Caenorhabditis elegans: one gene and its partner. The protein of the gene in region 2 interacts with the protein of the main gene of each other region in a pairwise test. Each region holds a gene or a part of one and is shown on either strand. Other genes may lie near its edges.

What was found. The genes of interacting proteins can lie anywhere in the genome.
Region 1: the proteins of sma-4 (region 2) and mtre-1 interact in a two-hybrid assay, tested with the Caenorhabditis elegans proteins (one large-scale study listed by BioGRID).

Annotation. Positions count from the first base shown.
Region 1 is NC_003280.10:8,047,615-8,053,517, forward strand, and holds mtre-1 (Male Tail tip Retraction Expression), read right to left. Parts: upstream 2,964-5,903; 5' UTR 2,905-2,963; coding exon 2,850-2,904; intron 2,803-2,849; coding exon 2,666-2,802; intron 1,821-2,665; coding exon 1,536-1,820; 3' UTR 1,410-1,535; downstream 1-1,409. Other genes in the region: apn-1 (Apurinic-apyrimidinic endonuclease), read left to right, coding at 1-94, 307-936, 988-1,403; T05H10.4 (FLYWCH-type domain-containing protein), read left to right, coding at 5,541-5,588, 5,641-5,903.
Region 2 is NC_003281.10:5,813,216-5,821,457, forward strand, and holds sma-4 (Dwarfin sma-4), read left to right. Parts: upstream 1-3,016; 5' UTR 3,017-3,061; coding exon 3,062-3,133; intron 3,134-3,333; coding exon 3,334-3,411; intron 3,412-3,566; coding exon 3,567-3,881; intron 3,882-4,456; coding exon 4,457-4,597; intron 4,598-4,901; coding exon 4,902-5,006; intron 5,007-5,051; coding exon 5,052-5,265; intron 5,266-5,496; coding exon 5,497-5,657; intron 5,658-5,789; coding exon 5,790-5,917; intron 5,918-5,965; coding exon 5,966-6,131; intron 6,132-6,176; coding exon 6,177-6,278; intron 6,279-6,586; coding exon 6,587-6,709; intron 6,710-6,757; coding exon 6,758-6,850; 3' UTR 6,851-6,982; downstream 6,983-8,242. Other genes in the region: R12B2.7 (Ovule protein), read left to right, coding at 2,019-2,039, 2,092-2,298. UniProt on the Caenorhabditis elegans protein: Involved in TGF-beta pathway.

The sequences.
Region 1 (5,903 bases), on a different chromosome or scaffold from region 2:
AGGAAATTGAAGCAAAAATTGACTCCGTTGAAAATTAAGAAAGGGAGAGGAAAAATACAGAAGCACATCCAGAAGACGCTGCAGAAAATGAAAGGTTTGAAAAAAACTAAATATTATAATGAAACTTCAAAAAAATTGAACTTTGTAATTTTCTGCCAAAAATTAGAAATCACTCATTTTTTTGGCACTCATAAACAAATTTTTAGAGATAACATTAAATAGCCCTTCTTTCTTTTTTAATTAAAAAAATAGTTTAAAAACTACAAATTTATTCATTACGATCTTATTCATAAATTGTAAATTTAGAAGAGGAAGAGTCGGAAAACCAAAGCCCTGGAACTACCGTAGAAGAAACATTAACTGAAGAAAATATTTCAACTGATAAAGAAGAAACCTCTAAACTGGAAAACAAACCGAAAAAAACAAGAAAAACATCGGGAGAGACTATCGCTCAAAAAAAATCTCGTGAAACGGTTGGCGTGGAAGTTCTGAAAACATCTGAAGGATCGAGTAAAATGTTGGGATTCCACGTGAGTGCTGCTGGAGGTCTTGAACAAGCAATCTACAACGCTCGAGCAGAAGGATGCCGAAGTTTTGCCATGTTTGTTCGAAATCAGCGAACTTGGAATCACAAACCAATGAGTGAAGAAGTTGTCGAAAATTGGTGGAAAGCGGTTCGCGAGACAAATTTCCCATTGGATCAGATTGTACCCCATGGTTCATATCTGATGAATGCTGGATCGCCTGAAGCTGAGAAATTAGAAAAATCAAGACTTGCTATGCTCGACGAATGTCAACGGGCTGAGAAATTAGGAATCACGATGTACAATTTCCATCCAGGATCAACTGTCGGAAAGTGTGAAAAAGAAGAATGCATGACAACAATTGCAGAGACAATCGATTTTGTTGTTGAGAAAACTGAGAATATTATTTTAGGTTAGTGCACTATAATTTTAAAAAGAAAATTTCAATTTCAAAACATTTCAGTTCTCGAGACAATGGCTGGACAAGGGAACTCGATTGGCGGAACTTTTGAAGAACTCAAGTTCATCATTGATAAAGTGAAAGTTAAGTCAAGAGTCGGAGTTTGTATCGACACGTGTCACATTTTTGCTGGAGGATATGATATTAGAACTCAAAAGGCTTATGAAGAAGTGATGAAAAATTTCGGTGAAGTGGTTGGCTGGAACTATCTGAAAGCAATACACATCAATGATTCGAAGGGCGATGTCGGTTCGAAGCTCGATCGTCATGAGCATATTGGTCAAGGCAAGATAGGAAAAGCGGCTTTTGAGCTTTTGATGAACGACAACCGTCTCGATGGAATTCCAATGATTTTGGAAACGCCAGAAGGAAAATATCCGGAGGAAATGATGATCATGTACAATATGGATAAAAGATAATTCTTGTTTAATTGCATAACTTTTTACTGATGAATGATCAATTTTTACCATAGTATTGCATAGATATTGCATTTCAGAAAGAGAAAATAAGAAACATAATAAATTAAACTTAAAACAAGATGTCAAAAAAATCTAGACTCTGCGGGCACGAGCTCTGAGATGAGCGAAGATCTCGTTGTCGGACTTGAATTGGGTCTCGAATGGATCGTCGAACTTGCATCCGATACGGTAATTGACAGTAGAGTTCAAGCACTTTCCAGAACGCCAGAGAACATGCTCGTCGTTTCGTTTCTCAACTTGATAAGTGATAAAGTTGAAGCACGCACGATGTCCTTGATCGATGTAAGAGATGAAGACGGTGTGGGATTTTGGACAGACAATGTCACAATATTCACGCTCCTCTCCATCATGGTCTTCCTGGAAATATCAGATAATATTTTAGAATTTTTTTTAATGTTTAACGTGGTTTCTCTTTTTAGTTTTCTTGCTTAAATGTTAAGTAGCACCGGTAGGGATGTCAAAATACCGCGAAAAAACGAAAAAATACCGCCAATTTTTACAAATTTTCAATTGTGGCTAATCCCCTCATTTGAATTACCGCGGTTGTGTATCGAAACTCCGCCCATATTTCCATGCCGCACTTCTGTTTTATGCATATATTACGGGAACAATAAATCATGAGAATGCGTACTTGGTGCATTTTATTTGACGCGCGATATCTCTTAGCGAAAACTATAGTAAGAGCTTAAATATCTATTGTTATTTGAGTTCTTACTGTAGTTGTCGCTAAAAGATATCGCGCGTCAAATAAAATGCACCAAGTACGCATTCTCATGATTTTTTGTTCCCGTAATATATGTATACACCAGCCGTGGACCGCACCTCCGGCGCGGCCCCCGACTTCTGGGTTTAAACTAATTTTTCTGAAACTACCGTAACCCTACAGTATTCCTACCGTACCACTATTGTACCACTACAATACCCCGACTATATCCCTACATTAACCCCAACTCACTATCCCTCCAGAAACCAAAACTTCAGAAACTACAAAGACTACATAGACTACAAACTATGGACACACAGAATAAGCGCTTTATATATAGTAAATGATAATTGTTTCAAAAAAGTTGATTCACGATTCGAAGATAGCATGCATGTGACAAGATTTTACAAAAGACATTAGAAAATAAAAGAAAGCTTTTTTAATCTTAAAATTGAATATTTAGACCTTTTTCTGGGTTAATACCAAACAACAACCGTACCTGCCAGCATCCAAGTCCAGTTGGAACAGGTCTTCCAGTTTCCAACTCTTCAGCCTTCAAAACCAAATGACATTCAGCACGATCTGGTCCTCCACGGATAGAGTTTGTTGGAGTGGAGCATTTAAGCTCACGGTACTCTGGAATTAATATTGTTTTCTAAGGTTAAGCAAACAAAATCACTTACGGTGATAAGCCAATACACATGAAAGGATTGTAAGAATTAGTATAGGCCTGAACATGACGGCTGACACAGAGACTCTTCTGTTGTCTTTGTGAATATGCAAATGATTCGGAATCTGCGGGCGGCATATATGGCAAGATAAGGGACCGGTTCAGCGACATCGACATGATCAGACCGTTATGCGTATATTAATAATAATTATTGTTATTATCATCCAATTCATGTTTTTCGTCATTTAGATTCTTGTTTATGACGACACTGGTCATTTGGCAGAAGACTGGAATTGACACGGTCATTGAACTGATCCATATCAGTTCGTTTTTTATTACTTGCAGAAGAAGATATTGTTTTAGAATTATGGGGATAAACAGAGAACTTCACAAGATATTCAATTTTACAGAAACTTAGTAGGAACTATATGCCAAGTTTAAGTCAATTCCTTGCGTGGTGCGTAGTGTATATAAATTGAAATTTTGAAAATACTTTTTTTAAACAGGTTAACAGTTTATAAACTTCGAATTCATCAATAATCGAACCTACGGAGGACTTCCGGAACATTAAAAACGCATAAACGTTAGCGCCCAAGTAGTTTTTTAGATTTACCGTCAAAAAGTGGAGAAAATTCAATTTTCGAATTCGACCAGAAAAATTAGTTTCTACGAGGTTTATACTTGAACTTCAATTGTTCATATTCAAACATTCTAAAGGTTTGAACTTGCAGGAATACTCGAAATTACTCAAACAACACACATTTTTAGATTTTTCCCAATTTACCAAAACTTTGACTGGAAATTTTGAAAAACCAAAAAAAAAAGAAATTTATGATATTCGGTAACCTTAGGCTATCATAAGAGTATTTAGACTACAACTCAACTAACGATATTCCAGTGTCGCACTATTAAATAAAAAACACTTATTGTAGAAAGTTTTAAAATCTTATTACAGCGATGACATATTCTCTCGGTTGAGACATTTTTTAATCTAAAACAGTTACACATGACACATTCAGTTGGTGAGCAAATACATTTGCATATACTGGTATACATTCATTATGAAGGGAGTAAACCGCGTTCTTTGTGACGCAATAAAGAAGAAACATGAAACAATAATTGCCTTGTAAGGGGAAAAGAGTTGTGGAAGTATTAATCGGTTAATACAGGACAGAAAACATGGAGATGGTAAAAGCTTATATTTTACATATAAACTGTAAAATATGCTATTCAATCTTTCTAAAATAATTCAACTTTTCATTGTCGAGTCATCATTTGATTTTTATAAATTAAAAACAAAAACAAAACGGAAATTTTTGTGTGGAAACCATATTAAGATATTCCAACATTTTGGCAGTGTAATTATCTTAGAAAGCCTGAGACATCATATAAGAATTGGTTCTAAATATCAGTGAGAGTTGATTAAAATATTCTCAATTGCTCTTACTGTATCAAAATGTTTTTCAACTGTCAATCCAATCCAACGACATCTACAGTATAATGAGATCCAGAGTATAAGGTGTCTAGTTCAAATAAATATTCAATATAGAAATTATTTACATGTTATAAATTGAAACTTGATCTACTAGTTCCATATCTACCTGGGACAACCCATAAAAAAGGTCAAATCCAAAGTATTGTTGAATTAAAATGTTTTGCTTTATTTCAACCAAGGTCTCTCCATATCTTGAAATTGCTCTTTAGTCATCTACTCTCTATTAATAGTGTTACTGTGGTCATTTATCGATCAGAAGTACTTCCACCAACACATTTATAATCCAGAAGATTTCTCACTTGACCTTGTGTACATTTTGCTCGTTCCCATTTCACGATAATGGACTTATCCAAGTCACCATCTGCTTTCATCTTCCCAGCAGACACTTTTTAAAGCGGGTCACTCTCACTCTCATATGTACTATTTCTCATCGATGCAATGGCTCACCATCGTCCCGCGCGCGCGTCTTCCACCCTGTGTAGGCCAACTCACTTTTTTCTGTGCACCATTCAACCGCCAATCGACATGAAGACAGAACAAATAGTATCTCTCTGTCTCTCTGTCAGTCTTCATTTTTTCTTTTTTCGTCGTTTGGTGTGTACCCTTTTTATTCCCAAGCACCGTGTAGCATTATTCCATGTTTTTTCTAAAGAGAGTGCAAGTTCTATATCGGCTACAAGTTCTTCTTCCGTTGTTCTCTTTTCGAATTAGCATCATTATCCAGAGTACTAGGAGCAAGGAATAAGTTAATTTTGCTTCTAGGTCTCATACATCATTCATTTTCATGAATCCTACTTTATTTTTTTAAAAAGCAGATACATGTCTTGTATCTGAAAATTTAAAAGACTTCAGCGTGAATAAACGATGCAACATCTTTTAGGAACAAATGTTTTGCCAATCAGAAAAATACGGTGTTCCAATAGAACAATTTTATTTTAAACATCATACTATTAAAGAACCTTCTAAAAATACCTCGACAGATAAGAAAAGTTAATCACCGTGCAAGATTTCCAATTTTTCCTTTTCTCTTTTTTTTCTCATTTTCACATTTGAGTTATTGAACCTCACACAACCTGGCAATCTCTGTCTTTTTATCACAGAACTGAACCCTTTTCACTTTTCAATGCTAAACTTTCTTCTTTCCTTATTTCTCTTTCAACTTTACACAAATGTGAACATGGTTGTTTTTAGTCAGGAAAGATAACTTCAATGGAGGAGACAAACGCTTTTTCGGCATTTAATCAGCTTCTCATGTCGGTAGGTTTCATTGTAAGTCTAGAAATTCCATTAAAAACTTGAATAATTTCAGCAGAACGTTGTATCCCCAACGAAACAACCAATGGAGTTGACCAATGAGAAACTAATGGAATTTGTTCGAAATGCAATGCAAAATCAGCAAGGACTTCCAGAAGTACCAAATATTATTCCATCTGCTCTTCCATCAATGCTATCACAAATTCCAACTCAACCTATGCCTCAAATGCCTGTTGTAATTCAAACTTCTCAAATGAACGATGTTATGGGTGATCAAATGCTTAAAGCTTCTCCATCTGCAAGTTCCGATATGAGTTC
Region 2 (8,242 bases):
TATTCTACTTATGCTTTTTTTTTGATTATAAAGGGAGAATGCATTTTGTGAGTTTTTTAGAACCAAATTTCAAAAACTTTATATCTATCTTCTGGCTTTAATGGTCAAATTTTCTAAAATCTGAGGTGTTGCCTTCTTATCCTTCTTACAACGTCTTGAAATTTTTTAGAGGCACGTAGGTAGATTGTTTTGATGCACATGAAGTTCGCAATATATCTGAAAATCCCTGGTGCTTTGGTTTATAGTTAATCTTAATAATTTTTCCTATTCCGGTTCATCGTCAAAACCAGATGACAATGCAAAGATTTGTTTGAAAAAATTTCCAGAAACCCCGACAAAACCCTAATTACAATGCAAACCTAAACACCCTTCCTTCTAATTAGAACAATTAAAATTTGCAAAAACAAGATGCTGATGTCTTGTTCACGTGCTAGTCCTGTTGACCGCTGTAAATCTGCCATAACTCAATTGAAAGGTGAAGAAATTAGAGCGATAAGAAGACTAAAGTGCCCATTTTACGACCGTACGCTTTCTTTCTTCTTCTGATGAGATTGACACCATACCGTGAACGAAAGGTGACGATCAAAGGAAACTGATTATTTTGATTTCTGTTCAGAACTAATAAAAGTAATAAGTTTCCGAGTAAAATATTGTGCGGTACTTACATGCCAATATTTTAAATTTAAAGCGCCTAATTCGATGAGCAATAATATGTAATACGCCAACAAGAAAACTTCTTGTGAATTAAAAAAAAATTGTGAAATTAGGTGCCTCAAGTGAGTGTTACTGCTTTCTGAGTCACAGATATAATACATACCATACCTAGTTTGCACATCAATTCTGTTGGATTCAGAACCCAGCTAGAGGACATACACCGATTCTCAATGATTCCGTATTTAATTTTAAATTTGCGCGTTAAGTGTGGTGTGTCACACATTTGGTGCTTGCAACCTAAATACACTTGTCCATTTTTAAAAGTTAAATAGCAACTATCAGGTTTACAATACTATCTTTCACCGTCTGCGTCTCCATCTCCATGTTCTTCATATCAGTTCAAAAAATGATGTGCTCTTTGTAATGCTCCGACTCTTTTTCTTTTCTCCCTGTCCCGAATGATAAGTCAATTAATCGATACCCCCCCCCCCCCCTGATCATCACCTCATTTCCGTTTTTTGTTGTCCGTTTGTTAAGTTTCCGCTCATTCAGATTTTTGCAGTAGGTATGATATCATTTAAGTGTAGTTTAAACGTAAAACTGATTGGGATCAAAGCAAACATGCTCTCTCGCTAATAAGTTTGCAACATAGTGATCATCGTATATAGCGCATTTGTATTGCCGTTCTGCTGATCATGGTCTGAAGCAGCCAACATTGTGCGGCACCGCCTCCCTAATATGAAATTTTAGTGACACACGAAGTGCCCGCTGCTGCTTCAACACTTAAAGATATGTTCTATTGATGTGACATACGTGACCGTTGGCAGATAAGCAATAAACCAGGAAAATGTCTGAAAATTAGCTATTTCCCTTTCTTTCAACTTGTGCCACTCTCTCTCTCTCTCTCTCTCTCTCTCTCTCTCTCTCTCTCTCTCTCTCTATTTTTCTCCGATTCCATCCTCTCCTCCTCTTCCCATTCACCTGTTATGATCATTTATCGTCACTGGCGCCGAAGAGACGCAGAGTGATGGGTATGTGGAGGTAGAGAACACATATGGGCACATCCCCCTTACACAAATTAGGTGTGACGGCTTCGAATTAAATTGATCGATGAGCAGTCCGCACCGATGGGACAGTTCCCGGCATATTGAACAAAACAGTGTCTCAGGCTGGTTAAGACACAATTTTATGCTACACGGTGTTGTCACGTAGATTGCGGTTGGTAGAGTTTGCAGGGACGCAGAGAGGCTAGAGACTTTGGCTGTCTGCACTCTCTCCTCGCCTTCTCACCATGTGGCCGCGAGATATATTGATGGCCGAGTTTTCTCCATTCATAATGAAACAAGTCCCCCGGATGGCCAGAAATGGTTTTTATAACTTTGTTTGTGGGTGACCTAGTTCTCTCAATTGTTTCAGATAATTTAAACTATTTTGCAGAATGGACTGTTCACATTTCTCTATCATTTTATTTTTTGCTCGCTGAGCATTTCTGATCTTTTGATGATGTACTTTTTTACTTCCTTCGTCATTCCCACCCTGAACGATAAACTAATTTCCCTTTCGATTAATGCTTTTTCTTTTCCAAAATTGCACTTTTATCATTTTCAAAGAAGAAAAAGAGATGGCATGACAATTGTCAGATGATTCTGAGGTTCGACTTTATTAAAATTAGCAATGTTTTTTTTTTATGTTATGGAGAATTTTTTAAATAGTTCTCCACTGACTCACTGTTGAATAATTTTTACTTGTAGAATTGTTTCTGTGGGAGAAGCATTCAAAAATTAATCACATCTATTTTCAGAATTCCACTCCTTATTTTAGTTGTTTGTTGTTACATGTACTTATGTACTTAGTAATTGACACATTGCACAATTATTTAAATGCGTGGTAAAGTGCACAAAACAAAGAGTATAAGAATATAGTTTGGTTTTCATAGTTGGAATGCTGGACTGATTGCTGGAATGTTGGAATGTTTGTTGTGGTAGGTCGGTGTGTCTGCTGTAGTTAGGGAGTTTTCCCTAAATCCAAGTTTTCAAACACACTTCATCCTTTCCTTGAAAGCACAATTTAAAAAGAAATAAATCATATAATTGGAACATTTATTTTTAAATTGAGATCCCATTGCTGTTTGATTTGTCCCTTCTTTCTGATCTTCATCCTTAATCGTCTTCTTCCGTTGTCACCTCGAATCACAACTTCATTTATTCTTCATTATCTGATTATCACCAACCGTTCTAAGTAAGCACCTCCCATTTTCTCCATTCAGCTCTCCCGTATTCTCTGCTTCCCGTGACTCCGCCTCTTTTTTCAACTTTTTTGTGGGTTTGCTATCATTTTCTATCTCTCAATCTTTGTCACTTTGTTCTCGAAAAACGTCTGAATTGGTCGAATAATGTTTCATCCAGGTATGACATCTCAGCCGTCTACTTCTAACCAAATGTATTATGATCCTTTGTATGGAGCAGAGCAAATTGTACAGGTGAGCACTATATTGTAGGAGACAGTTCAAGAGAGAGCGCGAGAGAATGAGAGAATATGAACATTTTTGGGGAACACTTATCTATTATAGTAGTCTAGTAATTGCTTCTGATTCTTAAAATACAAATAAAACTGTCTTCGTGCTTTGCATTTAGAAACTGAAGTACAAAATTCAGACAATATTAATTTTAACTATTTCAGTGCAATCCAATGGATTACCACCAGGCAAATATTTTATGCGGAATGCAGTATTTCAACAACTCGCATAATCGATATCCGGTTGGTTCAGTGATATTTGAAAACTAATTCTCTCAAAAATAAAATGGACCTCATTTTACTATTTTTCTGCATATGTAACGAAAAAATCAATAAACTTATATCCCAGTGACCAAATCGATAAGCTTTTCAAAATTTATTAAATCAAAAAATTTCAGTTATTACCTCAAATGCCACCACAGTTCACAAATGATCATCCATATGATTTTCCGAACGTGCCGACAATAAGTACTCTTGACGAAGCGTCTTCTTTTAATGGATTTTTGATACCTTCTCAACCATCTTCATATAACAATAATAACATTTCTTGTGTATTTACGCCTACACCATGTACATCATCACAAGCTTCATCCCAACCTCCACCTACACCTACAGTCAATCCAACACCGATTCCACCGAATGCTGGAGCAGTTCTCACAACTGCAATGGATTCATGTCAGCAGATTTCACATGTTTTACAATGTTATCAGCAGGTAGAAGGGGTCTTTGAAAAATAGAAAAATTTTAAGTAAAAATATAATGTTTTAAAATACTTGTTTTCCTATTAAAATACATTTCAAGTTGTATGGATTTTAAGTTTTCAAAAAAAATTGCTGAGAAAGTTGCATATTCATATCTGCTTGGGATTTATGAAAATTTTCGAACCAAAAATTTAGATTAAACTGAAACTTCTCTACATTTGAAAATAACGTACTAGACTTGAAATTTTTATTTGATTTCCTCTGATGAAATCATTGAATAAAACTCTGAAAATTTCAGAGCTCCAGAATTTTTTCTTTCTTGTAAACTTTAACATAAAACTTTAGGAAAGAAAAAACTCTGGAATTTTTACAAAATAGTTCTGAAACTACTTTTCCACTTTTATTTTTCAGAACAATTTTGAAAAAGGTATTCCAAAACTTGTCAAGCAAAACAAAAGAAGTTTTAATAATTAAAAAAAACTCCAAACTACAAAACAAACATTGTGGGTACGGCAGGCGCCAAGATAGCTGTGGAATTTGAAAACTGGAGCATTGAAAGAGAATTAAACAATTTACACGTGTTTCAGGGTGGAGAGGACAGTGATTTTGTACGGAAAGCCATCGAATCTCTTGTCAAAAAATTGAAAGACAAACGAATTGAATTGGATGCATTGATTACAGCAGTTACTTCAAATGGAAAACAACCAACTGGATGTGTTACTATTCAGGTTTGAAATAATACAACCTTTTGCTTCTGTACAGTAACCTAAAATTTTTTATTTTATGCTTGGAATTTTCGAAAATTTCAAAATTCCAGATATAAATTTCAGCAGTTTATGGGTATTTCAAAGAGAAAAACATGTTGCTTGCCAACTTTCTAAAATAACCAACAAAATTTTCAAATTTTTTTTCGTGAATTTGAAGTAAAATAATAATGTCAAAGTTTTTTCCGGTTTGAACATTTTAAATGGATTTTTGTTAGTACTTCCGATTCTTCAATTTTAAATACAGTTATCATCTTTAAAAGTTTAGAGATCCTTGGATGGACGCCTTCAAGTTGCTGGACGGAAAGGTGTTCCACATGTAGTTTACGCAAGAATATGGAGATGGCCAAAAGTTAGCAAAAATGAACTTGTGGTACATGAAAATGTTTGAACTCGGAAATAAACTGAACTATTCCAGAAATTAGTTCAATGTCAAACTTCATCAGATCATCCTGATAATATTTGCATTAATCCTTATCACTACGAAAGAGTTGTCTCAAATCGGATAACAAGTGCAGATCAATCACTTCACGTGGAGAATTCACCTATGAAGAGCGAATATTTAGGAGATGCAGGAGTTATTGATAGCTGCAGTGATTGGCCGAACACACCTCCTGATAACAATTTTAATGGTAAGAGTTGAACTCCAAAACTGTAAGTAGAGGTGGCTGCTCTCTCTCTCTGACTTTTATGCCTGCCTACGTACCTTCTAATACTTATTTGTTTGATATGGATGTTTAGTGAAGATAAAGGGTAGATAGAGGCATTTCTCATCTGCCCAAGATGAGCATGAATATATTTAATACAAAATCAACACTGAGAATTTTAGAGACCGATTTTAAATGTGACCCAATTTTTTTCAGGAGGATTTGCACCAGATCAACCTCAGCTAGTCACACCGATTATTTCTGATATTCCGATAGATCTCAATCAAATATATGTTCCAACACCTCCACAATTACTTGATAATTGGTGTTCAATCATTTATTATGAACTGGATACACCCATTGGTGAAACCTTTAAGGTATGTTTTTCTATGAAATCTGATGACTATTCATTCATGGTGCAAATCGCCTAGAAATTTTTGTGAAAGAGCGTGATTCTATCAAAAATGTGCAATGGCGTTATTAAATAATTTTAATTTTCTAAATTTTAGGTCAGCGCCCGCGATCATGGAAAAGTAATAGTAGATGGTGGAATGGATCCACATGGAGAAAATGAAGGAAGGTTATGTCTTGGAGCACTTTCAAATGTTCATCGAACAGAAGCTAGTGAAAAAGCAAGGTAATTTTAATTCAGGATCATGAAGAAAAATATAACACTGTTTTGCAGAATCCATATTGGTCGTGGTGTTGAATTAACCGCTCACGCCGATGGCAACATCTCTATCACTTCAAATTGTAAAATTTTCGTCCGATCCGGGTACCTAGACTACACTCATGGATCCGAGTACAGTAGTAAAGCACATCGATTCACTCCGAATGAATCTTCATTTACAGTATGTTCCCATTCAGGGAGTTTTACAAATGATAGAATGTTACAGGTATTCGACATCAGATGGGCCTACATGCAGATGCTCCGACGTTCTCGATCAAGCAATGAAGCAGTACGAGCACAGGCGGCAGCTGTTGCTGGATATGCACCGGTTAGTAGTAATTTGCAAGCAAAAAAACGACTCGACGCACCATATGGTGCATCATATGATCAGTGTACTGATTTTCTGCACGGACCCAATGCCATAGTTCACTTAAAAATTATTAGTGAAACTGACTAAATTTGCGACCAGGGTGATGTATTATTTCTGAGAATCAAAGATTCAATTTACCCTGATGATGCTTCGGGCATCAGCTAGCTAATTGTACACTTTTAATTCACAGACTCAAAGCATCATATATCACGAACACGAACAAGCAAAGCCTGATACCCAAGTTTAAAAAATATTTAAAAATTCAGATGTCCGTGATGCCAGCGATAATGCCTGACAGTGGAGTTGACAGGATGCGTCGTGACTTCTGTACAATTGCGATTTCATTTGTAAAAGCTTGGGGTGATGTCTACCAGAGGAAAACTATTAAGGTATGTCGACTACTCTATAAGAACTAGTCACCAATGACTTTTTTCCAGGAAACCCCATGTTGGATTGAAGTAACTTTGCACCGTCCTCTACAAATACTGGACCAGCTTCTCAAAAATAGTTCTCAATTTGGAAGTTCCTAACACTTATTTTTTATTTTTCTTCAATAATGATATCTACCTGTATTTACGTACCCCAGCAGTTTCTCATATTCATGTGCGTTGTAAAATCTCCTTTTTTGAATTTTTTCACTTTGGAAATAAAGTTTTTAGCATAGTAAATACAACCACACTATGTAAAAATAGGTTGCAGGAAAAATCAAAGAAATTTTAAAAAAATGAGCGGTTGAGTTTTCTCTTTTGGTGGCCGCGTTGACGAAATGGAAGAATCAAACCATATGCACCATTGTCATCATATTTACTTACCCAGAGCCATTATGGTTGATTGAAAATTCATGGTTGAATTCTCACATATGGAATATCATTCCCACGAATTCCCACTAATTTCTTCAATGAAGTTCAAAATAAGAGTGCTCGACGGTCTCTCCCCTCTGTGCCAGTGACAAAAAAAGTGCCCCATTCCGGGAGAATTATGTCCCTTGAGAACCATTTTGCCAGGGGCCGTGAGTGTGTCGCCCCCTTTCTACTCTATCCTAGTGGCCCTTTGTCTGTGCGACACAAAATATTCCAAAAGTAACACTATCATTTTTATTGTCTTCTCCTACACTCATCCCCATTTCACTGAGCCATTCCTCTGAATGTTGCAGTTTTATGTGCAATTTTTTTCAGAAATCACAGAGTTTTTCTTTTTGCAAGACCTTCTTTTGTTTTTTTTTTTTGAGAAACTAAGAGTAAATTTTGGAGATCGAAAGTTCCTCACTTAGCTTGTCAAGTACTTTTTCTGCATACTTTTTTCTTGGAAAAATATGTTTATGTACTTGAATTTTGAACTAAAATGAGTTGATTTGTAGGCGCCACTTCTTCATTTGGCCAAGTTTCTATACTTGCCCAAAACTACATTAACCCAAAATTAATCAATCGGTGAAACCGATTTTCAAAAAAAAACTTTAAAAAAAAATTAAAATGTCAACTAATTTTTATTCTTTCGATGAATCTCACATCAAAGTAAAGTTTACAAAGATGGTCCAAATGTACCATAACATGCACAAGTTTTTCAACGGCTGACAGTTTACGGGTGTTTTATTCAAAATCTCAATCAAAAAATTAGATTTTCAATTCAATTTATCTTATTTCCAAAATCTACTAGCTTTTATTTATTTTTCCAAATTGACATCATTTACCCTTTTTCTCAAGGTTATGCTTGATTGAATTCTGAACCTCCATGCTTTTTATTATCTTCCACTTCATTTCTCTTCTTGAATCACTTTTTGCACAAAAAAATACTTAGTTTTTTTTATTATTTAGATCAAAAATTATTTTTTCGCCTAGAAAATATGGCATGACCTAGGAGCACTTTCGTGATATTATCAGACATTTTGCATACATGTTGCTATTTCATTCGGTCTAAAAATTTAA